Linked DNA regions of Kluyveromyces lactis. The protein of the gene in region 1 interacts with the protein of each later gene in a pairwise test. Links are inferred from orthologs where the notes say so. Each region holds a gene or a part of one and is shown in the gene's direction. Other genes may lie near its edges.

The links.
Region 2: the proteins of KLLA0_F26807g (region 1) and ARG82 interact in a two-hybrid assay, tested with the Saccharomyces cerevisiae proteins (3 studies listed by BioGRID). The link is inferred for Kluyveromyces lactis from reciprocal best matches to the Saccharomyces cerevisiae genes MCM1 and ARG82.
Region 3: the proteins of KLLA0_F26807g (region 1) and ARG81 interact in a two-hybrid assay, tested with the Saccharomyces cerevisiae proteins (2 studies listed by BioGRID). The link is inferred for Kluyveromyces lactis from reciprocal best matches to the Saccharomyces cerevisiae genes MCM1 and ARG81.

What each region holds. Positions count from the first base shown.
Region 1 is NC_006042.1:2,471,655-2,481,541, reverse strand, and holds KLLA0_F26807g (uncharacterized protein), read left to right. Parts: upstream 1-6,089; coding exon 6,090-6,800; downstream 6,801-9,887. Other genes in the region: putative Mg(2+) transporter MNR2, read right to left, coding at 1-261; chromatin-binding transcription coactivator SUB1, read right to left, coding at 799-1,533; D-arabinose 1-dehydrogenase (NAD(P)(+)) ARA2, read left to right, coding at 2,091-3,077; YET2 (Yet2p), read right to left, coding at 3,137-3,760; KLLA0_F26818g (uncharacterized protein), read right to left, coding at 4,187-4,411; IOC4 (Ioc4p), read left to right, coding at 7,967-9,292. UniProt on the Saccharomyces cerevisiae protein: Transcription factor required for the efficient replication of minichromosomes and the transcriptional regulation of early cell cycle genes. Activates transcription of ECB-dependent genes during the G1/M phase.
Region 2 is NC_006040.1:1,481,441-1,491,691, forward strand, and holds ARG82 (inositol polyphosphate multikinase), read left to right. Parts: upstream 1-4,434; coding exon 4,435-5,463; downstream 5,464-10,251. Other genes in the region: Arf family guanine nucleotide exchange factor SEC7, read right to left, coding at 1-1,629; KLLA0_D17380g (uncharacterized protein), read left to right, coding at 2,752-4,050; SUP35 (translation termination factor GTPase eRF3), read right to left, coding at 5,515-7,617; heat shock protein HSP42, read right to left, coding at 8,040-9,227. UniProt on the Saccharomyces cerevisiae protein: Inositol phosphate kinase with both monophosphoinositol and diphosphoinositol polyphosphate synthase activities.
Region 3 is NC_006040.1:858,060-869,649, reverse strand, and holds ARG81 (Arg81p), read left to right. Parts: upstream 1-5,353; coding exon 5,354-7,924; downstream 7,925-11,590. Other genes in the region: guanine nucleotide exchange factor VPS9, read left to right, coding at 206-1,519; ERO1 (ER oxidoreductin), read left to right, coding at 2,285-3,970; TAF13 (Taf13p), read right to left, coding at 4,308-4,787; KLLA0_D10175g (SRPBCC domain-containing protein), read right to left, coding at 8,125-8,577; KLLA0_D10153g (Zn(II)2Cys6 transcription factor), read right to left, coding at 9,667-11,590. UniProt on the Saccharomyces cerevisiae protein: With ARG80, ARG82 and MCM1, coordinates the expression of arginine anabolic and catabolic genes in response to arginine.

The sequences.
Region 1 (9,887 bases):
ATGATCGATGTATGATCCTGAAAACTGGGACTCATAAGAACCATGAGACTTTCTTGAATTTGACGTTTGAAAGACGTTTTCTTCTGTCTCATCCTCGTCGTCATCTGTATCGTGTAACAATCCCATCGAATCGGATTTATCGACTTTCACCCGGTAAGGAGACTGTACATCTGCATTCTGAAACACGGAACGTCTCCTGGTCCGCTTAGCTTTCGTCTCCGGAGAGCCTAGTAAGGGCACCTGATCCTTTTTATCTGGCATCACGCCGTTATCAATCTACTAAAATGAGAGTGGTGTGTTTTAAGGGTCCTTGAATTTCTTGATATAAATGGAAAATCAAACGTTAACTCTCACAATTAAACCGAAAAGAGCGTGCTAGTGTAAAATCCTTCTCCTTACACTCTTGCTAGCATGCCTGATAAATCAAAATTGGAATATTGATAGATACACACTCAAACAGAAACGTTCTATGCCATTGACTTTCCTTTCCATTTAATTCATATTATCTGAAATGAAATTATCAGGTAGTTTGATCTTTCAGAAATAAACAGTTTGATTTAGGTTTGATATATTTTTCTTTTCTTTGCTATAGCTTTCCGCTTTCGATCTAGAAGAGGAGCTTCGTCCGGGTAACTGATGACAATAGCATCAACCTTCTAAACGTGTAGACTGCCAAACAAGTAAATAAGAAATTAAGCAAGTGTGCATATACTTAGTGGTATATATTTATGTAAAGATCGTAGGCTTAAGAATGGTAAAAAAAGAGGAAAGCACTTTCGGAATCTCGTCTGATTTAATCTAATCAGCTTCGGAGATATCTTCATCTGAGTGACCGTTTTGAGGGTCCTGTGACAATGCCTTGGCCAGATCGCTTTCCATAGTATTATCGCCATCTTCTTCTTCTACAGCAGGTGCTGAACGAGGCAGTTTCCCCAGATGATCATCCAGTCTTGGATTGCTGCTGGCAGAGGTGGAAGCTCTTGTCGTAGTGGCTATAGAATCGGTGTTCACTGTCTCGAACTGTGCCTCATCTTCATCTTTGATGTTTGCGTCATCAGATGCATCGTCCTGTTGTTCTTCTTTCACAGCGTTCACGTTTGTGGGTACGACAATTCCACCCATAGTATTAGCTCGATCCTCCTTTTCTCTTTGCAGCTCCTTTTCTTTCTTCAGCTTTTCCCTTTCCTTTTCCTTCTCCTTCTCCTTCTCCTTCTTGAGCTTGTCCTTCTTCTGCTTCTTCTCAAGTAACGAATCCATCTCTGGTCTATCCGTTAAGGATCTAGAAGACCCTAAATCAATCAAACAGTTCTCGATTTCACTTCTGTGCCTAATCAATTGATCGTACTGCTCCTCCGTTAGCGATATACCTTTCTTACCAGGTCTCATGTCTCCAGACGATTGGTCCAGATAGTACTCACGAATATCAATCAAATTGATATTTTTGAAACGACGAATCGTTACTCTCTTGTTCTTACCAAGTTCAAAGCCTCGATCATTGCTCATGATACTGTCAATTCTTCTTTTGAATGGCATGCTGGGCAATGTTTCTCCTAGTAAATTTTACCACTACTATCTCTTGAATACACAACTTTGTCTGCTGATTATGCTAATCACAATAGAAACTGTTTGCTGCTGTTGGAAGAACTTTTGAGTCTTGTGATTGCTCTAGCTCAAATCTTTGCCTCCAATAGTAATTTCTAAACTGCTCAACTGAGATAAAAACAAACTGGTCTCTATAGAAATACAAAATAGATATACACTCACATAAGTAACAATCCACCGAACACTCTCAAATATTAATTTTTATCTAATACCGTTCATTCGTTCCATCACTCATGAAAACTTTTGTGTGTTGTTTGTTCTGATGATAATACTTCTAACCAGTTTTCGTTTTATCCCATGTTGACATTCAAGAAAAGAAAGAAATCTGAGAAAAAGGTAAAACTGTGGTTGAGCGAACTGCAGGTTTCGAATAGAAATCGAATTTAACTGGCATGCGCCTGGTAATTGATAACATTGAAGTAGGTCAGACCTATATATAGATACAATTTATACTTTAGCATCGACCTGTCATACCCGTGAAATTAAAGATGGTCGTTAAGCAGGTTGAGAGGTTCGGTGGATTACCACAGCTGGTTTTAGGAGGAGCAACTTTAAATACTCAATACAATGATAATCCATACTCGATTCCCGTTGTTGATATGCTAAAGTTCGCCTTCGCTAATGGAATCAACGCTATTGATACATCACCATACTATGGTCCCAGTGAGATAATATATGGTGAAGCGTTGGAATCTATTCAGGAACAATGGCCAAGGAACTCGTACCAAATATGCACCAAAGTTGGTAGAATTCAACTTGATGACTTTGATTACTCGAAGGAGCATGTGAGAAGCAGTGTTTTGAGATCATGTGAAAGGTTGAAGACAAATTACTTGGATGTGTTATATCTACATGACATTGAGTTTGTCGAAGAGGATATGATCTTGGAGGCTCTCACTGAAATGAGAAAGTTGAAAGATGAAGGAATCGTCTTGAGAATTGGTATCAGTGGGTACCCTGTCGATTTCTTATATCAAATTGCTAAGAAATGTAAGGATATCAAACGCATTGGTTCATTGGACAACATTTTATCGTATTGTAACCTCAACTTACAAAATCTTATACTAGAGCAGTATTACGATAAATTCATCGAAGAATGTCAAGTGAAAACCGTTGCCAACGGATCCATCCTTTCAATGTCTCTATTGACCAGTGGTGAAACTAAGTCTTTCCATCCATGCTCACAGGAACTACGTCATAGGAGTAGTGAGGCCGCCAAGTACCTGTTGAAAGAGGGCGTTGAAATTGCTGACCTGGCAACAAAGTATGCCATCTTCCAATGGTTGAACCGCGGACCTACAGTTCTGGGATGCAGTAACGTCGTTGAAGTAGAACATGCCTTAAGAAATTATAAAGAGGTTATAGATAATGATGGGTTAACTACAGAAGAGAATCAATTAGTGACACATGTCCAAGAAAGCATTTTCAAAGAATTGATGAATTCGACATGGGAATCCGGTATTCGTGGTCGTTAATAATGGATTTTTTTGTTTCGTGCTTTATAGTTAAGTAAAAGTTCGTACATTGTTTCATATCAATCGTTTTTCTTCTCTGAGGCTGGCTGAGGATCCTTATCCTTAATAGTGGCATCGAAGTGTTCGTTTAGATTGTTTATTTGAATCTTTAACGCCTTCAAAGATACTTTCTTTGATTCCAACTCCTTTTGTAGTGCGGTTAATTGGGGAGATGCGACTTCTTTCTCCTTGGCTTTGTTCTTATCCTTCTCATCTTGCTTGTTTTCAACTGCAGGTACAGAGTTCAGTTCCCTAATTAGAGTCTCGTATTTTACCAAACGGGTTAATAAGTTCAATAAGACAGGAATACAAATAGTAAAGTATAGAATGAACCCCGAAATGTATACGTTTCTTTGATTGTAAGCCCTTGTAGTCAATGTCTTCAACGAACTAGCCACATCTTGTGGTTTCTCTGCGTGAGAGAACACTGGGAGCTGTGCACGTTTCCATGAGTCAATGAACAGTAGCATCACTAAACAACTTAATATAGCCACCACAGTTCTAAATTGAGGACCTGATAAAAAATTATCAGAGAAAACCACTAATCTTTTCCTTATCTGATAATGCAAGGGCATAACTATCATGAACATGAAAGCCATTTGGGCCACAAGAAGTATGAACAACACAGAGAAATAGATTGACATTTTAAAGTTTCTGATTACAATTTGGTACCTCCAATTATAATTCAAATATTCGATGAGACAACCAACCACTGAAAAGAATCCTAATTTTACCGTTGCTTTGACTGATTAAAGTTTGTCGAATATGTAACTGTGTTCTTAAATAGTACCTTAAAAAAAAAGTATCGAAGATCAAAAAATAGAACCAAAGCAATGTAAAAGTACCAATCATAAAAAAAAAAAAAGATTAAACCGACAGGTGCGTCAGTTTTCCATAACGAAGAACAAAGTAACGACAGAATAAATAAAAAAAAATAAAACTGGCGCTACCTGGGTAGGGTATGTTTAATAACCGTTCATTAAATTAGTACAAAATTGAAGAATATATAAAAATCTCAGTATTTAACCGCACGAGTCCGACGTTCAGCAAGCTTTTGGTCAATTTTTGCTTCAATGGTGTAGACCCTGTCTTCTTTCCTTGGCAAAGATTTGGTCAATTTTTGAATCTTTGTAGGCCCATTGCAAGGCACCAGCACCAGCACCAAGTAGTACAGTGACACCTCCTAGGGTAGCAAACCACTTTCCGGTAGACATACTGTGTGAAGAAGCGTCCGCAGAAGCTTGGGATAGTCTGACGGCGGATCTGTGGAAAGCTCTAACTAAAGTTGGGTTCATTGTAGTATATTGATTATTATTTGTCCTGTGTGAAGTGATGCGACAGTAAACAGTTTGTTGTCCTGATTGTAGCTTGGGACAGTTTTGAAGGGAAATTAGGATATACGATTAACAGGTACAAAAGAAGGGAAAGCGCTAAGGTTTCAAGAAGAATTTAACGGCATATATAATCAGTCTTTATATAGTCATTCCTTTTGGAGTTGCATCTGAAAAGTGATGATACTTTGCACGTCCCTGGGGTATCAGCGTATAATTATTATTTGCCGGTATTCCAAGTATAGATTGAATTCAAATCATACCAATTGAAATGGAAATCTCACCATATTTTCAGCTATTCTCTGATTTCCACTGTTTATCTTGTGGAAGTATATCCTCTTCCAATGGTGTGAGATAACAATCAAAATGTGGTACCGGCTGGGGACTCCAGAAAGTATGACAATCACCCGCATACGGAAAGTAATAGAAACACTTTCCTGTTTTCTGTACATATTTCCCGATAATTCCAAACCCCAATATCATCTACGGTGTCCCTATTTCTCCTAATGTTCCTTCCTATGGCTTATTATAGAACAGCGAAAATCTCTGCTGATTTTTATGCTTAGATAAGCAATAGTCGTGGTATTGGTGGCACCACCATAACCCCATGTACCATCACCCACACACCACACGCGTCGTTTTACTCTGTACTGAATTGGACGATATCCGGGTAACTTTTATGAGGCGCCTGGTGTCACGTGTAACGTACACTGTGACATTTTGGTCTCTGCTCTTCACTAATCACTCCCTTATCTCATATTATGCCTCTTTTGAGTAATTCTACACGACACACAGTCGAAAAGGAGGTCCGGCCAGTTCTCAAAACACTACGTCCGGATATTGACAATGCTATGAATGGTAAGGCAACAGAAGAATATAATAAGGATAAGTAAGTGCCTAAACACTCGCCACATATATCGTTGATCGTCGTAGATGTGTCCTATAGCGGCGGGATGCAATTAACACCTTGTCAACAAAAGGAATCCCTAGTATCCTGCTGTACCTAAGAAAAAGGTGTCATCTACATCTATATCTACGGTAACATTATACTCAGAATCTCCTTGAAGAGAAAAAAACCAACTTCTGCAGTTGACGAAACTTTGATACATAGTACATCATCACCATAGTACATTTGAGAGCCAACTAAACTTTACCTCCAGATAATCCACTGGTCATAAGAAAATGTGTCCTTGTGTTTGAGCATAATATCTCTCTCCCTCTCTTTATTTACAGTTAGCTCCATAATTTTTTTATATTTTTCGCTGCTTAAAAATACTGACTTCTACTGTTTATCTCGCTTAGTCTGTATATGTGTGCGTTTTTTTTTCTCGCAAGAATAAAGAATTATAGAATAAAGAACAAAGAATATAGAGTTGGTGTTTTTGCCTGATAGTTTACACAGGTGTTTTACTGTTTAGGGAAGTGCACAGCATTGAAAAGTTTTTGTTATTTAGTAACCTCATTAAGTTAATTAGATACTTCCACTTACCATTCCCAGGTCGCACTAGTACTTGTACTGTTGATATATTTTTTCTCTCAATTATAGAATAATCAGACTGTGGAAATAACAAAACAGGTATAAACAGTGTTTCTCATTTAGAAAGTACCGAAACAAAAAAAAAATCAGCTGCAAGTGCCCGTGATGTCGGATTCAGAAGTTAAAGACGACAGTGTCACGAAAGAAACCAAGGAAAGGAGAAAAATTGAGATCAAATTCATTCAGGATAAGACCAGGCGTCATATCACCTTTTCGAAGCGGAAACATGGTATTATGAAGAAGGCATATGAGTTATCTGTGTTAACAGGTACTCAGGTTCTTCTTTTGGTTGTTTCTGAAACCGGTCTAGTTTATACGTTCACTACACCAAAGTTCCAACCCATTGTTACACAACCTGAGGGCAAGAATTTAATTCAAGCGTGTTTGAATGCACCAGAGGAAGACGATGAGGATGATGACGATGAGGAGGAAGATGAAGATGAAGATGATGAACATAACGTGCAACACGATCATGGCGGCGATGTTGGTGGTCAGCCACACTCCACAGTACCTACCTCGGTCCAATTGCCAGGTGGTGGACATTCCCACGGCCTTCTGCCCCAGCAACAACAACAGCAGCAGCAGCAGCAGCAACAACAGCAACAACAGCAACAGCAACAACGTTTGGCGCTCCAACAGCAGGGCCAAAATTCACAACAGCAACAACAACCCCAATCCGTACAGCACCAGCAACCTCAGGTTCAAGGCACGGGCCAAACTCCGAATTTCACTAATGCTTCTTATTTAAACCCAGACCATGCTGCCGCCTACGAACAATACTTCAACGGCGTTAACTCTCAACATGGCCAGTTTTGAACTTAAGGGATTTCTTAACTGGAATTCTGTGAAACACTGACCACTTCAAAGAAATGGCACAGAAAGACATGAAAAGAGCTGAAAACCATATGAATCTAATTAACTACTTTGAAGCAAACTTTTGTTCTGTTATATTTTCGTTGTTGTTATCAGTTAATTTATGCCTGTCTACGTGTTGTGAGCTAACTGTTTTTTTACATCCTTTTTTTCTACTACTTTCCTTCCTGGATCTTATTATTCTCAAATTGACTGGTTCAGTGGCACTAGAAACAACTGTTCAAGATATCTGTATCCACCTTCTCTTTCCTTGATGACTTGTCATCGAAAATGTTCGAATTGTAGATCGGCCGTCGATCTCCCGATTCTCTGGTTGAATTGAAAGATCAAAGAAGCGTGCAGGGCGGAGACGAAACTAAACTAAACTCAAATGAAATAGAAATAGGATACAATACAAATTGACTTTAAGTTTAATTCAATTACTACCGATACGACATGTCAGAGATCTGTGACTCTTACACATTTCCTGGCTATCAGAGGCTGTACAAATTTTAATTATCCAAGCGCAACTGATGAAAAACTCTCATACCACTTGACTTTTTAACCCTTTTCCTTTTCCTTTTATTAATTTTTTTTTACATTCTATGGACTCTCAGAAATGATATAAGACTTTGAAGGACAAGCTTTCCTTTTACTATATCATTATCTCTATGCCTAATTCTTCTCTCTTCCTATTTTCTTAATAAATAACCCGTTTCCTCTGGACCCTTTTCTCCTATCGTTTGTAGGTTTTCTCCGAGAAGAATTATCGTTTGTGACAGTTCTATATATATATATGTATTTGTACATTTTCTTTTCTTCGCTGGTGTATACTAAAACTTATTTCAGTTATAAATTAAGGTTTACTATTCTTATGGTTAGCGTAGCAAATAATCAGTCTTGGATGGTAAGGTTCATTATTGCTTGGCTATTTGCATGTGATATAATGTTTTTGCCTTAGAAGCTTTATTTTCAATGATTTTTAAACACGAAATCGTAAATTTCAGGTTACTTAACTGCTACTGTGAAATGCGATTTCTTTAAGGATTGTGGAATATCTAGGTATTCAACCCTTGGTGTTTCAAGTATCTGCTAGGTATACTTCAATAGCGAAAACTGTGCATTTCATAATGGTGTCAAAAATGTTGCAACCTACGGATATTGTAATTGCAAAAGTAAAAGGTTATCCACCATGGCCAGCGATGGTTATACCGTTTGAGATAATACCTCAGCAAATTCTTACGAAAAATAGATCCAAGCTTCCAGATGAATCAGACCAAGATTCAGATAGTGCTGAGAATATTGAATATTCACCTGTGCTTACTTTTAAGAAATTTACTCGTGAGTTAACCAATTATTGCGTGAAGTTTTTTCATGATGATTCCTACATTTGGTTAAACCCACGTAATTTGCATGAGTTGACACTACCACAGATCGAGGCTTTCTTATCTAAAGTTAACAGTAAGACTTCGAAAAATTTGGTCCATGCCTATGAAATGGCTAAACAAGGTTTGACTACCGGTATTGACGTGTGGGAGTTTGTGGAGTATGGATCCAGTGGGAAACCAGATGATGATGACTACACAGAAGGCGAAAATGACGAAGACGAAGATGATTACGTGGAAAATGTTGACTCTGAGGGAAGTTCGAAGAGGAGACCAACTCGAAGCAGTTCTAGGACGAAGGCAAAGAAGCCGAAACCAGCCCCAAGAAGGTCAACAAGATCTAATACGAAAACAACAGATGATGATAAAAATAAGGATAAACATAGAGACACAGATATTATTGATGAGAGTGACATCTCGGAAGACCTGGATGAAGAAAGCCCCTCAGTACCAAAGTCAAGGTCAAAGGTCACAACCAAAGGTAAGGCCAAAGCTGCAACGAAAAAAAGTACTAAAGCTGTCCTACCAAAAGCAAAAACTAAGCCAGTTATATATCATTACGAAGATGATGTCGATTGGAAGATTGTGGGGTTAGGGCCCCAGGACTTAGAATTAGATTCCCACCCACCTTTTGCGACAAAGCTAATTACCAAAAAAAATCTTGAGATCCATAATGATTTGAAATTAGAGTTGAAAGACAGATTGTCTGCTGCTAACAAAATGCTTATAGAATATATTTTGGATAAAAACGATGATCCAGACTTAATTCATTTAATTTCGGATGAACTAGCCATGTGTCTCTCTTTGAAAGGAAAGCATAACGAATTATGGACAATGTTTTTATCAAATCCAGAGTTCCTATTAAACTATCGGGTTCTTCTCAATTTGAAAAAGCAAGCTCTTCAAGAATCAAATGTTTTGGGTAAGTTTTTGGAAGCATACGAAGAAATTTTTGATCATCCATTCCAATTTGATACTTCATCATGGTCTTCAGATGCACAGATAATCAAACCAGAGCCTGATAAAAATGAGCCCAATCCAGAGTCACCCCAAGTCACTGCAGCTGGGTAGTGGTCTTCATTTTAAAGAGTTTTAACAACGTAGCTTGTATATCAGCCACGCTTTCCGACTTGATTAATTAAGCTTTTAGCATATTTGACTGTTTATATTTCGGGTGGCCTTGGTTGTGCTCTTCTCCATAATATAGTGGTTATGCACTGCAGCGTGGTAAGGAGAATATGTAAAAAAAAATAATGAACTACTTTCAATTCTCTTCTGGAGGTCACTCAACAGATGACTGATAAACGTATCAGAAAGACGTTTAAATGAGAGGGACATTCACTGGAGTCATCTCCATCAATACATATTCTTCTGCGTTACGTCGACTCAAGATATATTGCACTTACTTTACTCAAAAGGAAACACAAGTATGGTTTTATCGAAGACTCACTCAATAAACATATTTCATAATGGAATTTACCATGGCGTCTTCTTGAGATATGGGTTCATGGCTATTCAACACATGACGGCTTGATTCCTGAGGGGAGGCGAGGTGCCACGAGGAGGCGGGGCAGTATCCACCTCGTGAAATTGTGTCACTGCATTTGGTGTAAGATTCTTATGGTTTGTGTCGTAAGATAGGCTTAAGCCAGGCATCCTGTAGGTC
Region 2 (10,251 bases), on another chromosome or scaffold:
AAGAGCTAATTTTGTGAGGTAGTTTATGATCAACTCAACAACATTTGGCATATGACTATCACAGTCATAATTAAGATAGAATTCAATGAGCGTCCGTGGATCATTACAAACACGTTGGATAATACTCAAAAAGTATCTTTTCTGGTGATTGGTCGAAGACTTTAAATCCGCAATAGGGAAATAAATATCTGTGAGGAACACGGGAATCTCTCTCTTAAACTCAGATCTCAAGTTCGATATTATCAACCACATAATTTCTAAAGTTATCTCATACACGGGCGCAATTGGAGAGGCTGCATTTCTCGCAAGTGATAAACACAAATACTGATTGACTGCATGAACTAAGCTGACTTGCTCTTTTCCTGGAACCCTAACGTTTTGAGACAAGAAAACGTCGATATGGTCTTTTAATATTGAATGTAGAGTATGAAGAGATAAAAGTTTCGATCTTACTACATGAGATCTCATATCTAGTGAGTCTTCCAAAGGTTTTGCAGATATTTTTGCCATGGCTCTAAACAAAAGGAAAGCGTCTTTGATGGTAAGAGCTTGTTCATCAGTGATGGAGTCATCGGGTTTCTGGAAATTTTCTTCTTCGTCTACCAGTCTTTCAGTCTCGTCATTTAGTGTATCCAAATTTTGCAAAGTTAACGGATGTTCAGATGATGGAGTGGATGTTCCTCCATTGGTGGAAGCAGCATTCTTTAAGCTAATTGTTGAAAGTGATCTCTGTTGATTCAAACTTTTCACATCGATCCTATCGAAAACGGTCGTGACAATTTGGGTCAAAGTGGCTTGCGCTATGCCTTGATTGGATGAATGTAGCGAAAAGATGAAAATGTTGTAAATTTGTCTGATGGCCTTCAATAAGGAAGCGCCATGGACACAAGAAGTAGCTTCATCGATTAAGATACAACTGGCTAAACCACGTACAACTTGCAGTTCCACTCTTGAGTCTGTATTTTCCCCTTCAAAACAATCACAAATTGTGTCAATTACCGCATCAATAAGCTTTTGTTTTGGAGGTGGAGTAATTCCAATATTTTCAGGGTTCTGATCGTTTGAAGCCATTGAGTCTGGAGGATTCACTAGCAGCGATTCGTCCAAGGCTTGAAAGGAGAACAGTTTAGCGAAACAATCTAAAGCCTTTATTTGAATATCAATGATCTTAGATCTGCAACATGATCTTAACGCTTCAAAAACGAGCAACGAGTCAATTTCTACCGAAGTTCCGGTTGGCGCTGCTGAGGTTTGTTCTAGGGACTTCAAAGTCCTTTCTATATCTTTCTGACAACTCGTAAGTTTCTTAAGTTCTTTGGATTTCATTATGGATTCCAACGTTGATTTTACAAACAAAACAACCGATTTAATGTTCGCGTTATTCATAGATACAATTGACGCATTTCTAGCATGGGCCGCTCCCTCGGTGTTACTATTTACAGTTTTATTTGCTGATGGAGATGGCGTCACATCAACATCAGGCACATCAGGGGTGTTGTTCTCCACGTTCGCATCAGCGTCGGTTACCGAATTCACATTGATATCAACAGTCGTGGTCGAATCTAGGGCTTGTATATCACGTTCCTCAGCAATTGCTGGGTTCGTGCGGTCCACAGGTTCTTCTGACATGTTTGGCAATATTTCTTCGACAGCACTGCACCTTAGTGTGTATATAATCACCTCCGTAATCGTTCCACCAAATACGATATTATGTATACTTCTTTCTGAATCTCATTTAATTTCAGATATTTTTTTTCTTTCCTTTTAAGGTGGATGGCTGGCTCCGTTTTTCCCCTATAATAGGAGAATTGGCTTGAAGATCTGCTCTCTGAAGTCTTTCTGAAGTATAAGTGATTAAGTAAAGCAGCTGAATGATGTTACCAGAATGTTCAGCCAAGAGGCAGTGATATAAACCGTAGATACTTGCTACAGGAAATGGATCTGGAAACTTAAGTTTAGTTCTACATTGTATAATTTTATAAGCCTCTTCTGCTGTGTCGAGCACGTGATTTGTTGATCACGTGATTAGAATCATCTATGATGAGAATTATCTATTGGAGTAACCTCTTTTATAGCACTTCATAGCCCACAAAGGGACGCCAAATTTGGTATATTCTGGAGCATTTGTAATAATTTCCAAACTTACAATCTGAATTTACTTTTCATATCTCTACTTTGAGTTTGGGACCTCAAATCTCCGTTGGCGACCTTAGTGATTGAGAATAACAACCTAAAAACAAGTAAACAGATTGCATGTATGTCAATTAGTGCGGTTAACTAACACCTTCATGTGTAAAGCATCTATCTACCCATATGTATGTATACATATCTCCATAGGAGATATTTAGTCGTTGTTTTCCCTGTTTAATACTGGCGGTGCTGACATAATATGCTGTACCATTTTCCTCCGAAGGAAATCCGTCGGAGGAAAATTGACATGCGTCAGTTAGTGAAACAAAAACGTAGATAGCGTGTGATTAGGATAACAAAAAGAGGTACGGGAGATAGAAAACGGAAAGCTCGAGCGATTTGTATAGTTTCGAGTGCATGGGAGCCTAGTTATCTTTGTGTAAATTATTACAGGATATATTATCCTTCAAAATCTATAAAAGAAGAGCGTTTGTCGAAGAAGAAGAACTTAGTTTGGATAAGGTTCAATTAAGTAATGCATATAGTAAACACATCTATAAGTATCAAGATTAAATCAAAAAGTATCAATCATTAAGGATATTGTGAAATTATCAACTAAAGATGAGTCCAATCGCCGTTACCCGTAAGGAAGTAGAACAACACATCAAAGCGACACCAGTTAATGATGTCCTTTTAACCACCTACCCAGAAGATTCCTCTCCTATCCCATTGAACTGGGGTGCTGCTGATTGTCAAGAAAGGGGTCCTGTGGTTCCATCAAGAAATAAAAGTGGTATCTCTAAACACAATTGCATCGGTGCTCATGCTGGTCCATACTGCATCTATAATGCTTTGGCCATTGGTTCAAACCAGTTAAAACGCGACCATATTCCAGACTATACCAACGCGCAACCTGTGTTTACAATCCCAGAACAGCCATCATGGTTTAACAACCGTGATATTGTATCGATGGATCCTTTTGGTCACTTAACACCTTATTTGTTTGATGATGTTGCTAAGTCTGCAAACGTGGATATCAGACCAACTATTGCCATCACCAAGGCAACCATGCAATTGCTTGAGTTGAAAGAGGCCGTTGATAAAGGCGAATTGAAAATCGACGGTAATATCATTGTCAACTCTAACGGTGACCTAAGTGTTTCGAAGATTGCCGTTGAACCTGTTTGGTATTTACCAGGGGTCGCTGAAAGATTTGGAATCACTGAAGAAGAGTTAAGAAAATGTTTATTTGAGGATACAAATGGTATGTACCCAGAATTGATCACTAGACCCGATATCAAAACTTACATGCCTCCAATTGGTGGATTGACAGTGTATATTTTCGGTAATCCGCAAAACATTTCCAATCCAGAAAAGAAAATCGCTTTGAGAGTTCACGATGAATGTAACGGTTCCGACGTCTTCGGTTCTGATATTTGTACTTGCCGTCCATACTTGATGTTTGGTATTATTGAAGCAGTAAAGGAGGCCCAGAATGGAGGAACTGGTCTTGTTATTTACTTCCGTAAAGAAGGGCGTGCACTTGGTGAAGTTACCAAATATTTAGTATACAATGCTCGTAAGAGAGGCGGTGATACCGCTGACGAGTATTTCCACAGAACAGAATGTATCGCTGGTGTGAGGGATATGAGATTTCAACAATTAATGCCAGACGTCCTTAAATGGTTAGGTATTTCCAAGATCGATAAGATGTTGTCCATGTCAAACATGAAATATGATGCAATCGTTGATCAGGGAATTGAAATCGTCGAAAGAATTCCGATTCCAGATGAAATGATTCCTCCAGATTCCAGAGTTGAAATCGATGCTAAAATCAACTCAGGTTATTTCTCATCAGAAAAAGCACCAACTAAAGAGGAATTACAATCAGTCCATGGGAGATTATGGAACGATGTGTGAAATTTTCGTTAGCTCATGTTCTCCGGATGTTACTTAACTTAAAAAAAATACCGAAACGGAACTAGACTTTGACCTCCCAATGATAAATAAGTGGATGAATACCACATGCAATATTTTGTTACTATTTTGAAGCCAGTTAATATATGTATAGATTTTGTATGTTTTCTATTGGCAAGCATATCATTCTGGAATGATATGAATGCCGCAATTCTATGAATACCTTTTTTGATAACATCTACTGACAGAAGAATGTATTTATAAAAATAAAAAAGACAACTGAGCACCGTTCGAGCAAGCCAGATGATGCTACATCAACTGCGTAAAGAAAGAATTGAGCTCATGAGGACGAGGAATCACCTATAGATGGCGTTTTGAATATACAGCATGAACATCAAAGACTTTAAGAAACTAAAACGTCAAGCTGCTGGCCATGAAGGACCATTAACGGATCCCAATGAGATGCTTCTGTTCAAACCTTCCACGAAACAAGAAATAAAGTTTTATGAACACTTGGCCACCAGACATGCAATAGACAACACGGATGACATTCCATTACAGGACTGGACACCTACATTCTTAGGTATATTGCAAGAGAATAAAGAACAGAACAAAGACTTTGACCAAGAAAGAGTAATAGAGAGACTGAACGCGTGTTCCCCCACAAGTCTAACTAGTAAGTCACAAACCGATGGAAATGTTTACTTAGTTATGGAAAATCTATTGCACGGATATGTACGACCAAACGTATTGGATATCAAGTTAGGACATGTTCTGTGGGATGATGCAGCAAGTGAAGAGAAAAGAATAAGATTAGATGAAGTAAGTAAGACATCAACTTCTGGGACTTTAGGGTTTAGAATATGTGGTATGAATATCTTAAAAAACACAAATGTCCAAGAACTACACTCGAAGTATTATGAACCGGAAGATGATGGGTATATTTTTGTCAATAAATATTACGGTCGTGAGTTGACAGCTTCGAATGTAACGGACGCATTTGATTTGTACTTTGGCGATAATAATCTTTCACTCCAAAATCGTAATGATTTGATTCACATGTTTTCAAAAAGGCTTCAGCTTTTCTATAATACGCTATTGAATGAAGAGGTTCGCATGATATCAAGTAGCCTTCTATTCATATATGAATGCGATACTACTCGGTGGATCAACTTCTCTCAGGAACAAGAATTAATACCGTCCCATGTATCATATGATTCGGATGAGGAAGGGTCCATTAAAGATGGACAGTCAAAGGAGAGCATATCAGGAAAGACAGAATTGAGTCGCATGTCGATAATAGATTTTGCACATACCAAATTTACCCCAGGATTAGGAATAGATGACAATGTACTTGACGGGGTTGAAAGTCTTATAGACATTTTTGAAAGATTAAAAACTAAATATACAATCTAGACTAGACACCTAGTAAATATGCATTGTGATATGGATTCATAAAAACCGAGATCAATTTTCAAGGATTTTCACAATCTTACCGATAGCAATGGTGGTACCTTGATCTCTTAAAGTGAATCTACCCAATTGTGGGTAATCATCGTATGTTTCAACACATACCGGTTCATTAGTCTCGATAACGGCAATGATCTTCATACCCTTTTTAGCAAATGCTGGAGGCTTCTTTGATTTTCTGTTTGACCCCTTCTCAAGCTTGTGAAGCAATCTTGTGACGGTGACTTCTTCGATAGCTGTATGAATATGCATAACGCACGAGAAACCAGCAGACATGATCGATTTCAATTCGACAATAGCAATTTGAGCCACAAATCTCGTTACATTCTTAACTGGGTTTTTTGGAGAGGTTAGAACGAAACCAGCAGAAATTTCTTCTTCTTCGACACCTTTAATTCTTAATCTAACCTGCTCACCACAAACAGCCATGTCAACTTCGCTTTCAGTTTCGTTATAAATGGTCAGAATTTCAACAGAGGTCCTGTTAGGCATTAGTAAAGTTTGGTTACCCTTTCTAATGTGTCCAGATTCGATTTTACCTTCCACAACAGTACCCATGTCCTTCATCTTAGAAGCAATTGGAAGCATGAATGGAGCATTGATATGACGATCAGTAGTCTTCATATTGTCAAGATATTCTAATAAAGATGGACCAGTATACCATGGACAGTCCTTAGGATCGACACGTTCCTTCAAACCTGCACCTGTGTAACCAGACACTGGCATGAAAATGACGTCCTCCTTAACATTGTAACCCACAGCCTTCAAAAAGTTTGTCAAGTTACCAACACAGTGATCATATCTTTCCTTATCCCATCCCACAGTTGGATCATCCATCTTGTTGATAACTACAATCATTTTGTTGACACCTTGTGTCTTGGCTAATAAAGCGTGCTCACGAGTTTGACCACCCTTTTCGAAACCAGTTTCATATTCACCCTTTCTAGCAGAAATAACCAAAATACCAATATCGGCTTGAGATGCACCACCAATCATTTCAGAAACATACATTTTGTGACCGGGAGCATCCAAAATAGTGTAACGTCTCTTTTCAGTTTCAAAGTACGCTCTACCCACTTCAATGGTTTTACCGTCGTTTCTTTCTTCTTTGTTGGTATCCATCACCCATGATAAATACCAACCTTGTCTACCAGCCTCTTTAGCCTCTCTCTCATATTTCTCAACGGTTCTTTTATCCACAGAACCAGTCAGATATAACAAGTTACCACCCATTGTTGACTTACCAGCATCGACGTGACCCATGAAAATGATGGAAACATGATCCTTACCACCAAACATATCTTTAACGACTTCTTCGTCAACCTCATCTTCTTGTTCCTTGATTAGAGCATCCACGGAGTTCGCTCCTCCTGTAGATGTGTCTGCCTTAGCGCTGGTAGTCTTCTCTGAGGAAGTATCATCAGCAGATGGGGTATTCTCCTTAGTTTTTGGTTTTTCAGCCTCTGAGATTTTCAAATCATCAATTTTGGGCAATTCAGATTGTGCTTCTTCGTTGTCGTCGGTAGTTTTAGTTGCTTCCTTGGATTCATCAGTTTTCTCAGTTTTGGGTGCTACAGGTTTCTTGGCACCTACTAACTTAATACCAGAGCTAGAGGCCAACTTTAACTTAGGCTTTGGCTTGGCTGCATTAGTACTGCCTTGTTGGTTTTGGAAATCTTTCAAAGTCATACCCTGGGATGAAGACTGTGCTGGAGCAGCGTAACCGGTTGGCTGTTGTGCATTATATCCTTGAGCACCTTGATAACCCTGCTTATTATAGTTATTGTAACTGTTTTTATTATTATAATTTTTATTGTAGTTATTGTTGTGACCGCCTTGCTGAGCGTTGTAACCTTGTTGCTGAGCATTGTAGCCCTGGTAAGGTTGGTAGCCTTGAGCTTGTTGAGGGTTGTAGCCCTGGTAGGCTCCTTGAGGCTGCTGTCCATAAGCTTGATATGCTTGGTAGCCTTGAGGAGCACCTTGTTGGCCGTTGTAGCCTTGATAGCCCTGTTGGTTGTAGTACTGGTTGTACTGGCCATATTGGTTATACTGATTGTAACCTTGGCCTTGCCCTTGGTCTTGATTTTGTTGGTCTGACATGTCTACTAGTAGATGCTATAGACCGGTACCTTGTTCCAATTTAAGCTTGCAAATAGAGGGCAATTCGCTGATGGGAGGATCATGATGATCATCAGTAACGCTTTCTTACACTTTTCGATCTTCTCTATCAAGCTGTTTAAAATTTTTTGCAATTAGCGATGATGTAATTTTATACGACTGCATATATTCCTAAATAGACTAACACCATTGTAGCGCCCAATACGTAATATGGCATCAATAACCTGGTGCAACCGTTCCGTTCTTCCTCTATGTAACTGTATAAAATGAGGGTGCTGGTATTCGTGTAATATTAATATTATACATAAGCGATTACTAAACATGAGATCTTATTTTAATTCATAACAATTGTTCATATAAATGTTTGGCTGAACCAGTTTTCCAATGTGAAGCCAGGGATGATTTCATAAATTGCGAGGAGCAGTCTCAAACACAAGTTCTTCATCTGGTACATCTTCTATTATAATTCTTTTCTTTGGTTGTGGTTTATTAGCATCTTGTGGAATTTTTGGGACTTTGATTTGAAGCAATCCGTTAAAGTACGATGCTTTAATCTCTTCATCTTTAATTCTCGGTAAAACGGGGAACTTGACAGATCTTTCAAAATCACCGTATTTCAATTCTGAGATCTTCACGTACTTTTTATCAATCCCGATCTTGTTGTCGACAGCACCTTTGATCAGTAACTCGTGCGATGAAGGATGGAAATCAATTTTAAACTCCTTCGAGTTCGCACCAGGTAATGCCAATACAACAACGTACTGTTCGGGAGTATCATAAACGTTAACTTCTGGAGAAAATGGTAGATCAAGTCTCAATTCTGGGTTTGAAACTTGCAAAGGTGCAGGAACCGGAGATCTGAAACCGCTGGGCTCGTAAGCTAGTTTATCCTTTTGGTTTACGTCCTTTTCGCTGTCAACGGAGGAAGTAGTCTTATTCAACTTTTGTTGTTCCTCATTATTGTGCATGTTATAATCTTCGTTGTACTCGTCAGAAGCGTCTTCTCCTTGCTCTGCTGTTTCCTCGTCTATTTGCTGATCATTACGTTCTTTTTCTTCCTCGGAATATTGATTTGCAAGAGCTTCTTCGGCTGCCGCAAGAGCAGCGGCTTGCTCCTGTTCATCGTTTTCTTGTTCATCATCAGTTGCTTGTCTCTGACTTTCTTCATCAGCATCCCCTCTGAAAATGTCGGAATTACCACCGGCCAAAGCACTCAAAAGAGCCCCAACTACATCATCACCAGATGTTGGTCCAACAGCCCTTCTAGAAGCTGTTGTTGGAGCACCGGTCCTGCGAACAGTACGGTGTGGATGGTAATGCGTGGGTCTTCTCTGAGGTTGAGCATCTTCATTTGTGTAATAAACTGGCTGGTAGTAGGATGCGTTTGGAACTGAATAGTAATAGCTGCCAGGAACGTAGCCCTGTCTTCTAGCGGCAAAAGGGTCGTATCTGTCATACCCTTGATTAGCAGCTCTTCTTTGAGGTTGTCTTCCACCGTAGATATTATCTTCATAATCACCTCTGGCGCCAGCCTTGTTAGTTAATGCATCTAGAACGTCGTAAAGGGACAAAGATGGTTGATAAAAACTCATAATGGAAAGGGTTGATATGGTAATATGTATAATTGCACTCAAAGGCTATATCCGTCCTTCCTTTGAATAAACCGCTAGAAAGCTGTTTTTGCTGTTACTAGGATCAATTTGAACCTATAGGTAGCAATATACCAGACAATCACAAATTACATCAAATTGGCAATGGCAAATCTAGGGATTGCCACCGAAGAATTAAACCTTTTATACCTTTTTTCTCCCTTAATAATGCGTGAATTTAGCCTTTTTTTTCCTTCAGTACCAGTAGAAGATCGAAAAGTCTAGTAATATGTGGAACGTTAGGGAAGTTCATAGAAATAAAGTTGGAGGAGACAAAAAACAAGGCTGACATATAGCCGTAAGAGTGGCGACCAGCAACGAATGGCTTTGAGGCTTGAAGGATTCCTACGATAACCAATATAGCGCATCTTTTGGTCTCAGTACTATTGTCAAAAGGATGCTTCTTATTTATGTATAGGTTCATGTTTTTTCTCGGAGTTTGTAACGTCAATTTCCAACCTATCTTTTCGTCCATCAGCACATACAAATTTCATTGAGCATAAATTTATGTAGGAAATGAGATATAATGCAGGATATGTTCCTTAATATTCCCAATTTCCGATGCACGTACACATTTTAGTTGGAGTTTCTGGAATAATTCGTGAGGTACCGAAGCAAAACAATGAGAAGCTTTTGTTCATGGACAAATGAATAAAGTTTTGTCCTTAACAGTCACGCAAGAGAGTTATGTCGCCGTAACGTAGGTTTTTTGGAGCTTAACGTATGGTTTTCAAAACTAAGTATTTCGCGTTCACATTCTAATTTGCTATGTGATCGGCGGGAAGACTTTCGCAGTTCAATATGGGTCTTTCAGTTCATCGTACATTTTGTCGTAAGATAGACTGAAGACAAGCCAGACGAGAGGTCATGTGAGCTAGCCAGCACACGACAGAGTTCCAAGACGTCAGTGACTGTGCATATGGATCCTGTGGTATCCAGAGGGGATGGCCTAGATGGATCATAGACG
Region 3 (11,590 bases), on another chromosome or scaffold:
ATATATGTATATTGACAACTTTTTTTTTTAATTTTTCAGGCTGCCAAACCTTTAGAAATAAATCAAACATGTAAATAAAGAACAAGATTGACTCTTGATCGAGAACGCCATTTTACGAAAAGAACCCTAGCGAATCGTAAATGGTTTCGAACCAACAGCGAAACTGTTTTTTACATTCATAGAGGGTGACATCTGTTTATCCCAAATGGACGCAGACGACGATAAAGGATTCAATGCTTCTCCAGAGACAATTTCGGAGAAGCCATTAGCTGACGTAGGGGAAAACTTAGATGAAAAGAATAATTACTATGACTTTCAAGCATTTCTCAAGATAATGCGAGACCCTAAGGCAGATCCTATTGTCAAACATACCAAATCATTTATTAGGAATTTTGTAAGCCAACGAGAAAACTGGACAACATCTGAACAAGAGAAGCTCATTAATGACTTTAAAGTTTTCATATATGATAAACTTCTGACAAATGAAGCCTTCAGAGACCTCAGTGATGCGCAGATAAAGAATGCTAAGGAAGGAATAGAGAAATTAGTGATGGGGAAACTTTATTATAAGTGTTTTTCTCCTTGTCTAGTGAACGAGAAGAGAAGTTCAGATGCTACGCATGAACAGGATCTTTTAGATGACGCCAAGTTAAGGGACAAAATCTTAGAGTTCAGATTCCTTGGCCCAGAACATTTGGATATCATTCCGGATTTGATCAACGGAAAACTTCACAGTTTCATAGCACTTTCCGCAAAAGAACTGGCCAAAATCAACCAGTATCGCTCCCCTAGAGATAAAATGGTTTGTGTTCTAAACTCATGTAAAGTTTTATTCGGGCTTTTGAAACACAATAACAAGTTGAATGGTGGTGCGGATCACTTTGTACCATTGTTAATATTTACTTTGCTCAAAAGCGATGTCCCTCATCTTATCAGCAACGTTCGTTACATTGAAAGATTTAGATTTCCATCGTTCTTGATGGGAGAAAACGCATATTATTTAAGCACCTTACAAGGAGCGGTCAATTTCATTCTAGATATGGATATAGATTCGATCAGCATCTTAGAAACGGATAAAGACTTCAACAAGAAATATTCTCAGAATCAGGAGGAAATCAAGGATCTTAAAAAGCAAGAACTTCTAAATCCAAAGGATTCATCTACCAAGTTCCCACACCGTACTGTGTCACCTTCGCCAAGTGAGTATATACTCAAGCCGCTTGATGATGCTGCAAATTCAGTGCTAACTAAACTCAACGACTTTTGGAACACAAGTACTTCTCCAACACCCTCTTCACCAGAGTATGAGGATAGATCTCCCAGAGATCATCAAGAGATCGACGAACATACAGCCACCGTTTTGGCACAACAGATGGAGCATAAAGAGCAAGAAAATACACTTCAAACATTACAGTTGATGTTTCCGGATTTAGACCCAGATCTTATTCGAGACGTATGCATAGCTAGCAAATACAGAGTCGGTGTTTGCGTAGACTCATTGTTAGAAATGGCAGAATGATTATTAAACATTTCTTTGGGCGATTTATTAATAATTTCAGCCATCTGAATTATACATTGGAGATCCAGTAGCATGCTCAAGAGAAATCGTTTAAGTGTTAATACTGGTAGTGAATTGTTAATGTATCCTCACAATATCAACACCAGCACTGTCCGTATTAGTTACATTTTGTGCAATGCACTTATATAGAACTTACATTTAGTACCTTCACAAAGGGGAAGCTGCCCCCGACGAATGAGATAGTGATTGTAGTTTCATCAAGTTTCCATCTATTCGCCACCAGTGCCACCTATGCATGACCATACCTCCCATGGAATTTCCAATCGTTTCGAAACTGTCATGTGACGTTTTTTCAAAATACATATTGACGTGTTCAATCGTTAAGAAATACAATCTACGTATGCTAAAATAGCGATAATGCCCATGGGTTCCCGCACTAAAAGAAAGACTCTTTCACTTCACAAGCTTCCTCCTTAGTCATCTACCGTGAGTGGTATATGTGTTCATAACAAAAATGCTCCGGTGCTTATTCACCTATACTGCCTGTAGTAAAAGTGTCACTTGATGATTCCCATTCCACTTTTTCTTTTGAGCCAAAAGGTACCCTAGAAAGAAGAAAAGAGAAAATAAAATCGGTTAATTTATATAAGGCTAAGATTCAATCATTTGATTTCAAATCATCAGTTAGTAAATAGTAACTGATAGATTGTCATACAGGTGAGCATTAAGTAGTTTCAAGAAATCACAATACTGTTACCTTAAACCATGGTAAAAGTTCTGCAACTATGCTTTTTGAGCGCAATATCGCTCGTTCAAGCGTTGAATTCGACTGTAGATCAAAAAGATGAGGCGAAAGTGGATATCAACACTGTTTTCGATAATGATTCGACTAATTTCTGCCGCATGGACAAGACAGAAGCTATTGGAGCCACCTGTGATGTGACCTTCCATGAAATTAACGAGGTTAACAATAATATTAGACCACAATTGTTGTCGTTGGTTCAAAGTGATTTTTTCAAGTATTTCAAATTGGATTTATATAAAGAGTGTCCATTCTGGTCGGATAACAATGGGTACTGCGTAAATCGTGCGTGTGCTGTTGATGTGGTAGAAGATTGGGATAGCTTACCAGAGTATTGGCAGCCTGAAATTTTGGGTAACATTGAAAATGCTACCACTGATATTACCGATGATGAATGTTCATTTTTAGATGAGTTATGTGACAAACCTCGTTTCGAAGCTGAAAAGGATATTGAATACTGTGATACCAATGATTTCAATAGCCAGCATTCAGTATTAGTTGATTTGACCGCTAATCCTGAGAGATTTACGGGTTACGGCGGTGAACAATCGTCGCAAATCTGGTCCAGCATTTACAAGGAAAACTGTTTCTCATTAGGTGACGAAAACCAATGCTTAGCTAAGGACGCCTTCTACAGATTGATATCGGGATTGCATGCTTCAATTGGTACTCATCTTTCCAATGAACATTTAAACACCGAAACAGGTAAATGGGAACCTAATTTGGAACTATTTATGACCAGGGTAGGAAATTTCCCTGACCGTGTATCGAACATTTACTTCAACTTTGCCGTTGTCGCGAAGGCCCTTTGGAAAATTAGACCATATATGAATGAACTAGGTTTCTGTAATGCTTACAACGAGGACGTTAAGGGAATGATTGATGGTGTCGTTTCTCAGCTAAATAGCAAAGTTTTCAACGAAGATTTACTTTTCCATGATGAGGTCAGTGGCCAACTTAAGGATGATTTCAGAATCAGGTTCAAGAATGTCACGAAAATTATGGACTGTGTGCAATGTGATAGATGTAGATTGTGGGGTAAAGTGCAAACCACTGGATATGCTACTAGTTTGAAGATTTTGTTCGAAATGGATAACGATGACGATGTGGCAAGACAGCATGTCGTTGATAAACTTACCAAGTACGAATTAATTGCTTTATTCAACACTTTTGACAGATTGTCAAAGTCAGTGGAAGCAGTTAACAGATTCGAAGAAATGTACAACTATCAATTAAAGAGTCCTGGTGAAAAACTGGCCTCCTTTTTCCAATTGGATAATTTCTTCAAAGTATTGAATGATAAGTTTAACAGTGCCAATCATTCATCTCAAGAAAAAGAATCCGTTAGTAACGTAGAAAAGAAGGTAAATGAATTCAATGATCTAAAAATGCCAGAGAAGAAGAAAGAAACACATACCGAAGTTCGTGAACAGGCCAGCGGTGTATTCAAAGAAGCATGGGATGTAGAATGGAAGAATTTCAAGCAAGCGTTGCGGTTTATCGTAACAAGTTATACGGACCTACCTTCCACTGTTAGTAAGTACACTGTACTAAAGCTCAATAAACTCTGGAACAAGTTTATTGGTGTTCCAAACTATCTCGAAGAAGGAGAGGAGCTTGAATATCCATCCTACAACTACGAAGAATAGATTAAAAACCTCTCAAATTGTCATTTTATATGACAATTTGTTTATAGATATTAAGAACTACAGGAGAACCAGCTGAAAATTCCAATTATGAAGATAAAGGTGATTATGTTCAAATAATACCCTCTCATAAGCTATTCATTTGGTTAATATATAGCTAATAGAAAAAATAAACGTATATGTTGCCGCTAAGTATGCATAAATATGGCATTTTGTTCAGAAAGGCGTAATACTATAATGATAGAATTTATATGAGGATTGCTTTGTTTTTTCACTTCTTTTGCCCAGCAAGAGAAGGATTTCAAGTACAGATATGCTAGGGGTAATGCGAATGTAACTCTCAGCTTGTTTCCCGTTTCTTCTTCTTAGGAGGTTCATTTCCCTTTTTCCTTGGTCTGCCTACCGGACGTGAGGTAGGAACGGGTTCAGGAACCGTTGTCGTCTCCTCATCTTCATCAGCCGAAATGTGGTCATCATCACCGTCATCTTTCACTCGTTTCAAAGATTTCCCCTCTGAATTATCAAATTGTTTCCTGGCATCGGTAATAACTTTATTCATCTTAATCAACTCTTCAGCTCTACCTAATTTCACCTCGTCCTTTCGAAGTACAAATCTGAAATCTTCCACTTTAATCTTATTCCTCTTCACGGTTTGAGCCGAGTAGTACGCATTGGCACATATATCGCTCAAATAAGACACCACCAATTCGTCTACACATTGAATGGTCTCTGGTAAAGGTTGCGCGACATCACCAAACGCATACATCAAAGAGCCAACATCTTTACTGAAAAGACTTGTTTTACGAATTCTTCTGGACATTCCTGTGTTGATCTAGAACTCCAACCGACTAGTCAGCTCTACTCCATGGAATGGACGAATGCGCTATAAGCTAAACTGTATAGCTTGATCATTGTTTCGTGATTTTGATTCTGGTTCTGAGTTTTATGTCAAACTGTCAACTTAAACACAGCGAAGAATAGTGCGAGTTTGCTTTTTTTTTTTTCGCAGCAAAAAATCGCTTGCGTTTTTTTGTCCCCAAATATCATGCGCAGTCCATCCAACAGTTAAGCTATATAGGGAGCTTTTTAGCGAGAAAGAAATTGACAAATCGCCTAACCCTTCCGCTTGTGTGAAAATTTTGAGAAAAGACGAACAGAGGAAAGGACATGACAGATCCACATCGCATCTTCTGAGGATCAGATAAACAGAGCAATGATAATAAACCGATTAGTACCGCTCAAGATAAGGTTTTAGTAGATATTATTGTTCCAACAGTGGCATCATTTAGACGCTCATCTGCGTGTGGTTGATATTGAAGGTTTGGTAAATATTGGAGGCTATTTTTCCTTCACAGCGACTGTGAGTCAAAGAGGATACAAGCAGGAATGAAGCCTGCGAAGCCCAGAGTGAAGACGTTCACGGGATGCTGGACATGTAGATCAAGGAAAGTAAAGTGTGATCTTCGGCGGCCCGGATGTGAGCGATGTGAGAAAGGTGGGTTAATATGTGGAGGATACGATGTAAAACTTCGGTGGACCCGGCCAATTCAGTTTGACACTATGGGTAATGTGACCGCAACACCTACAGGAATCAAAGATCCAGATGAGCCTCAGTATCAGAGAAGAAACGTTGATTTCGTTCGGTACAAAGAGGAATATGTGTATTATGAGGATATGGACGATGAATTATCAGCGTTAAGCTCTCCTCCTTTAGAGCTCATCTCTGAAGACAAGACTTGGATTATAAAGAAATTTGGTGTGTTCAAAGGCACAGATAAGGTCAAAAAAAGGTACGTGCCACGGAAGAAACGTAAGAAGAATCAAGTTTTCATTAATGCCATCGAAAAAGCTCAGAAGAAACTAGCTAATAAGAAAAATAAGGTTAAAACTGCTGATTCAGATTCGAAAGAGGGCACAAATTTATGCACTCCAGAAGATATGGAATCATCATCTGCTAATGATGATCATACATCTGCGCAGCAGCTTCATTCCCTATTCGAATTCGATATGAATTCTTTGTTGTTTCCTGGGAACGAGTGGATCTCAAATGAACTACGGGACGATGCATTACTATCGGCGTCCGCAGTGCAAGGGGAAACAATACCATTTATGGGTATTCGTCAGAATAATACACCGGATACGCCACAAACTCCTCTCACAGTAGATAATATGGGGAAAAAGAATGGTAGTGTTAATGGTAATTGTAATGACGGTCGCACATCTGGAAACGATAATGAAGACGAATTGGCTAGAGTCTATCGGCTCCTCTTCCATAGAAGAGGATCTTCTGATCAACCGCCACCTCCGACTATTACTTCCGAAACTAAAAGTGGTCATGCAAAGGAAACCATTGGCATTGTACCATTGAGGAATTTTGTGGAGCTAAACGTTCCAGGATCTACTATGCCGAGAAGTGCTATCGAAGTGATTCACTCTCAAGTTCCTGATCCCTCCATTTTTAATCGTCCAGGAAATACAAACCCTTTACTTGATATTCCCACAACAGGTGTACATGTTCATGGGTTAGCGAGATTCTTGCTAAATTATTACTTACAGAACGTTGCTGACCTAATGACTGTGGTTGTTCTACCAACTAATTCCTGGAAAACTATATATTTTCCACGTGCACTCAAAGCATTAGGTGATCTAACAGGTATCGGTTACACCTCAAATTCAAGAAACTCACTTCTAAATGCGTTACTCGCAGTTTCTTGCTTCAATCTCCAAAGTAAATTTCCCAAGAACTCTCCGGAAATGAAGTTCTTCTTAACACTTGGGATTGAATTTAGAACACAGGCATCAAGCTTTCTCAAAAGGTGCTTATCTAATACGGTAAACCAAGAGCGGTATAAGGACATTTTGACTGCAATCTTATCTATGAATTCTATTGATGTCGTCTGGGGAACCATGGCTGATTGTCAAGTTCACTTGGCTATCTGTGAAGACTTCGTTGAAAATAGAATGAAGACTAGACCGAAGATTTCGGCTAAAGCAAAGGCTCTCCATCGAATTTTTTCCTTCTTGAAACTCATTCAAGATAGTACCAGTTTGGACAAGGTCAGAACCAAGGAAATTGTAATACTGGACAACAATTCTTCCATTGATTCGCATATATCTTCTGGCATATCTTTATCTAATGGAGAATTTAAAGAATCCCTCAATAGAGAGGATGGTAAAATTGTAATTGAATTTTTCAGTTCACCTTCCAGCGGTAAGCCTTCTCCTGTGGCTTTCCCAAAAGGTTCACACGATAGTTCTGGTGTGACGACTCCCATTTTCTCCAATATAGCAAGCGAATCCTATTATTACCCGAAATCTAACGATACTGATAATAATATACTAAGTACCGACGCATTATACGGTTTACCAAACTCTCTCATATTATTATTTTCGGACTGTGTTCGACTTGCTCGGCACTTGGAGTATTATCGGCAGCATAATATTGTAACACCAAAGGCATTCAAAAAACTATGTACTGAATTTGAACAAAGAATTTTATCCTGGAAATCAGAATGGGATTTCAAAGTACCAGGCTCGCCTGATCATTTCGTTAATGACACTATTGAAGGTGTTTATCACCATACTATGAGTTTTTACAATGGATTGATCATTTACTACTTCACCGTTGTTAAAGGTTTAACTTACAAATACGTTAAACATCACGTGCAAAACGTGTTGAATAGCTTGATCCAATTGACAGAGTTGATTGAGAATAAGGGCGTTAAAATAGTTCCCTTAATTTGGCAAGGGTTTATGGCAGGATGTGCTTGCATCGACAGTAATTTACAATTAGAATTCAAAGAATGGGCAGCCAAACTTTGTAAATCTGGGATGGGTTCTTACTGGGGAGCTCGGCAGATTATGTTCGAGGTATGGAGAAGAAGATTGAACGGAGAACAAAATGATGACTGGTTCTCTGTCTACAAAGATTGGGAAATGAATTTAATGTTGTCCTAATATAGCTCAGCACAACAACGAGAAGTGCAATTGCGTTCATCATGTGAATAATCGCATAATTTATAGAAGAGAAAACACAAAATATTTAACTTAATAATACCACATGGATAGGAGTTTTGATAAAAAGTACATTTATGTTTCTTCTTATATCAAATTGGGAAAGGTTCTGATTTTAATTTCGTTCGTCACAGAAAGGGATATTAAGCGGAATTTTCAACTCTATCTTTCAAAGCATTGTTGAATGCTTCGAATCCAATCTGAGTTTTCTTTCCAACATACCATAATAGGGGTTTCTTTAAAACACCACCAAAGGCTTCGGATTGAATAAGTTCCGTTTTCATACCATCTTCCAATGGCTTAAACTCGAATTTATGTGTTCCATTGAACACGGACTTGACACCCAGAACACCCGTCCAAGAAAATTCTGCGTCGGAGTTTGTGATGACAACTGGAGCCATCTTTTGAGGAGATCCCCCGTCGAAATCCAATAGAACCTGTAAACCTTTCCCTGGCACTGGGCCTTCTTGTTTGTCACTTGGTGATATTTCCTTAATGAAAGTGGACCATTCAGAATATTTTGTAAAGTCCAAAAATACCCCTCTCACTACGCTTGGAGCCGCGTTAATAATAGTTCTAGCTTCGATATCTGCCATCTTATCTCTATGCAGTATCAGTGCCAAGGCTGTTGATATTTCTTGCCCTTCAATAGTATATTTACGGTTTATATTATCAGCCGTGCTATTTTTTTTTCGAGGTATGTTTTTTCAGCCTTTTTATACAGATTCAATCCCTTTCGGCAATAAGCTGTAATTCAATGATATACATTCAAGATATTAGTAATATTTGATTTAGTATCACAGAAAGTACAGTATCATGCTAATCAGCTACATTCTAGTTCATTGTGTGTTTTTTTTTTTGTTACTTGTTAATATACCGAATATACCAAGCTACTTTCACAATCACTTGCTGTAAACTCAATGGCTGTGTTCTTCATAAGTTCGATTCCTATTCTCTTCCAAAATTATATATAGTAGTTATCTAGCTTAATGGACTAAAGTGCTGAAACAATTCCTTGCTGTGAAATTATAATAAAACTTATTAATCTGCAATCCTCTAAGATAATTTACTTTGTCGCTTAATAATTCCCAATAATTATAGCATTACAACAATTCTTATGAGTCTACATTGAAGGGGATTGAATATTGACAAAGCAAGTAATATGTATTTATCTATAATACCACGGGGAGAATACAATGCATTGTATGGATTGATAGTAAGCTTCGAGAGGGATAGCGAACATATCTTTGGTGGAAAAGTCTGACAGAATTTCAGGTAAAAAAAAATGAAGACAAGGTAAAAATAAAGAATGGTATGCCAGATTAACAAACACACTAAAATACAGTGAGAGAAGCAACTTATAGACATAAGTTATATTAGGTAATTCACCATGCACTAATATCTTTCGAATTCAAAGTTCAATACTGAAATTCCATGTCACTGTCCGCATGAGAACTGGGCAACAGCGTGATTACGCAACGTAAGTTAATTTGTATCTCAAGGTATGGCAGAGCCTTCTTATACTTCTCTTAATACAACTGTAAAACATACATCATTTTATCAGATTAACTAGAGAAGAGCCATGAAACAGTCATAATAATATACATAATATAAAGTAACAGAAACGAAGAAAAAGTCATAAAACTGATAAAACCGTTAAGTTAGTTCTATCATTTAGTTTTGAACTACGCAAAGAACGTTGAAAATTCATCATCAAACATGTCAAGCGCAGAATCAAGAAATAGATCGTTATCCCTAATGCCATAAGGAAGTGCATTCATATCGAGAATATGTGATTCTTGATTGGTGGGTGGCAATGACCAGTCAAATGCCTGGATAATGCTAGTGGAAAACTCGTCCGATACAATAAACAAGTATGATTGATTGAGTAAGTTGTCTAATTCCAACCCACGTTCATTTTTGAAGGTGTCATGAACCAATTTGAAATACCTGTAAGCTAAAACGGCATTAAATGACACGTCGGTGTCAGTTTGCAAATACGTATCAAACGTAGCAATGAATTTCTGAAGATCTACATCACTGGACACAACGGCCGACCCATCGTCTTCACGATTCATGTATGCATCAGAAAATATAAGAACGAGCTCATGTGTGACTCTCGGTAACACAGTATGGTGCAGATATAACCCTAAACTGATATCTAAACAGGAATCAACGTTAGTTGTGCCCTTGATTGTTCTTTGTCGGTTATATACGGCACGAATATAATTCAGAACCAAGACCAGTGATGCGATATGGCACAAGGATGCATTTTGTATCAATTGTTTGGACCCGCTTGGGTTAATCTGAGATTCAATTATGGACAAATTTGAGATCATCTGTAAAGAGAGAAGAATCGTTAAAAGCTTATGAAAATTAATAGGTTCATCATTAATACCTTGAGACAAGTAAGGCGTAAGAGATCCAAAATTGGTTAGAATGGAGAACTTCAATTGAAGTATAGAAACTTTCAAATCAGGAGCATTTTTGGTAGAATACACTTCTGCTATAATTTTTCTCAAGAATAGCAAATAACTAGCAGGTGAATAATTCTGTTCGGTTTCAATTGTCATACCTGGGCTTTGATCAAAATCAAACAGAAAATCATCACTAATCAATAAAGCAGATCCGATGGAGAATGAGCATTCTAAATCTGCTTGAACAATAAGCTGCCATAAATTTGATATGTAACGATCATCGTCCCTGAAGAGCTTCAGAGTTTCTCTTCTAAACAACCCGATCTGTAACGCGGTTGAAAACGCTAAGCTTACCACGGCAAGACTGTTACCTCCGTCACCGCCAGTAAATCCCTTAGCATTGATATGGATGTACTTCAACATGAAAAACTGAATTCTCTCAAGATGAGCAGACTTGGCACTTTCGAAAGAGGCCAAATATTTGTGGAAAACGTCAATTGCCGGAGTATTCTTATCGTGGAAGTACGTCATTGAAAGAATCTTTGTAATAAGGCCTACTCTATAATAATTTTTCTTGTTACCTAATTCAATAGATTTTATCTCCCCATTGACAGCAATTAAACATAGATCAACGTCAGAGAACACTTTATTTGGATCAACTATCTCGAACTCTTTAAACAACGAAGAATTGAAGAAACTAGTTAAATATACTTTGATAACGTCCATCGACGGCAAGCAGCCGCACAAGGCATCTAGCACAGAATTACCACTTCTTAAAAGAATTGGATTGCCAACGGAGTAAACTTCCTCCATTTTGATGGCATGAACGTGTTTCTTCTTCCATTCGTTCCGCTTTTCTTTAATAGTTTTCCAAATCTCAGAGTAGTACCACCCCATACGAGACGACTTTATCAAACATCGAACTGATGTTGGTCCATATGTCAACACTCTTCCATACTTGGAAGATGTGTACCAAAGTTTAGTCAACGGATTACCGGTGTTTTTGTCGGATTTTTCACGAAGTTGTGATGTGAGAATGCCAATTTTAGCTATCAGTTGCGACTTGGATAGTTGCTTTGTTCCATCGACCAACTGCGATTGCAGATTCACATTGTAGATGCATTCATAGCCTTTTTTCAAACACGCTGAACAACTGGGTGCTTTCCGATCACACTTCTTCTTACGTCTTTGG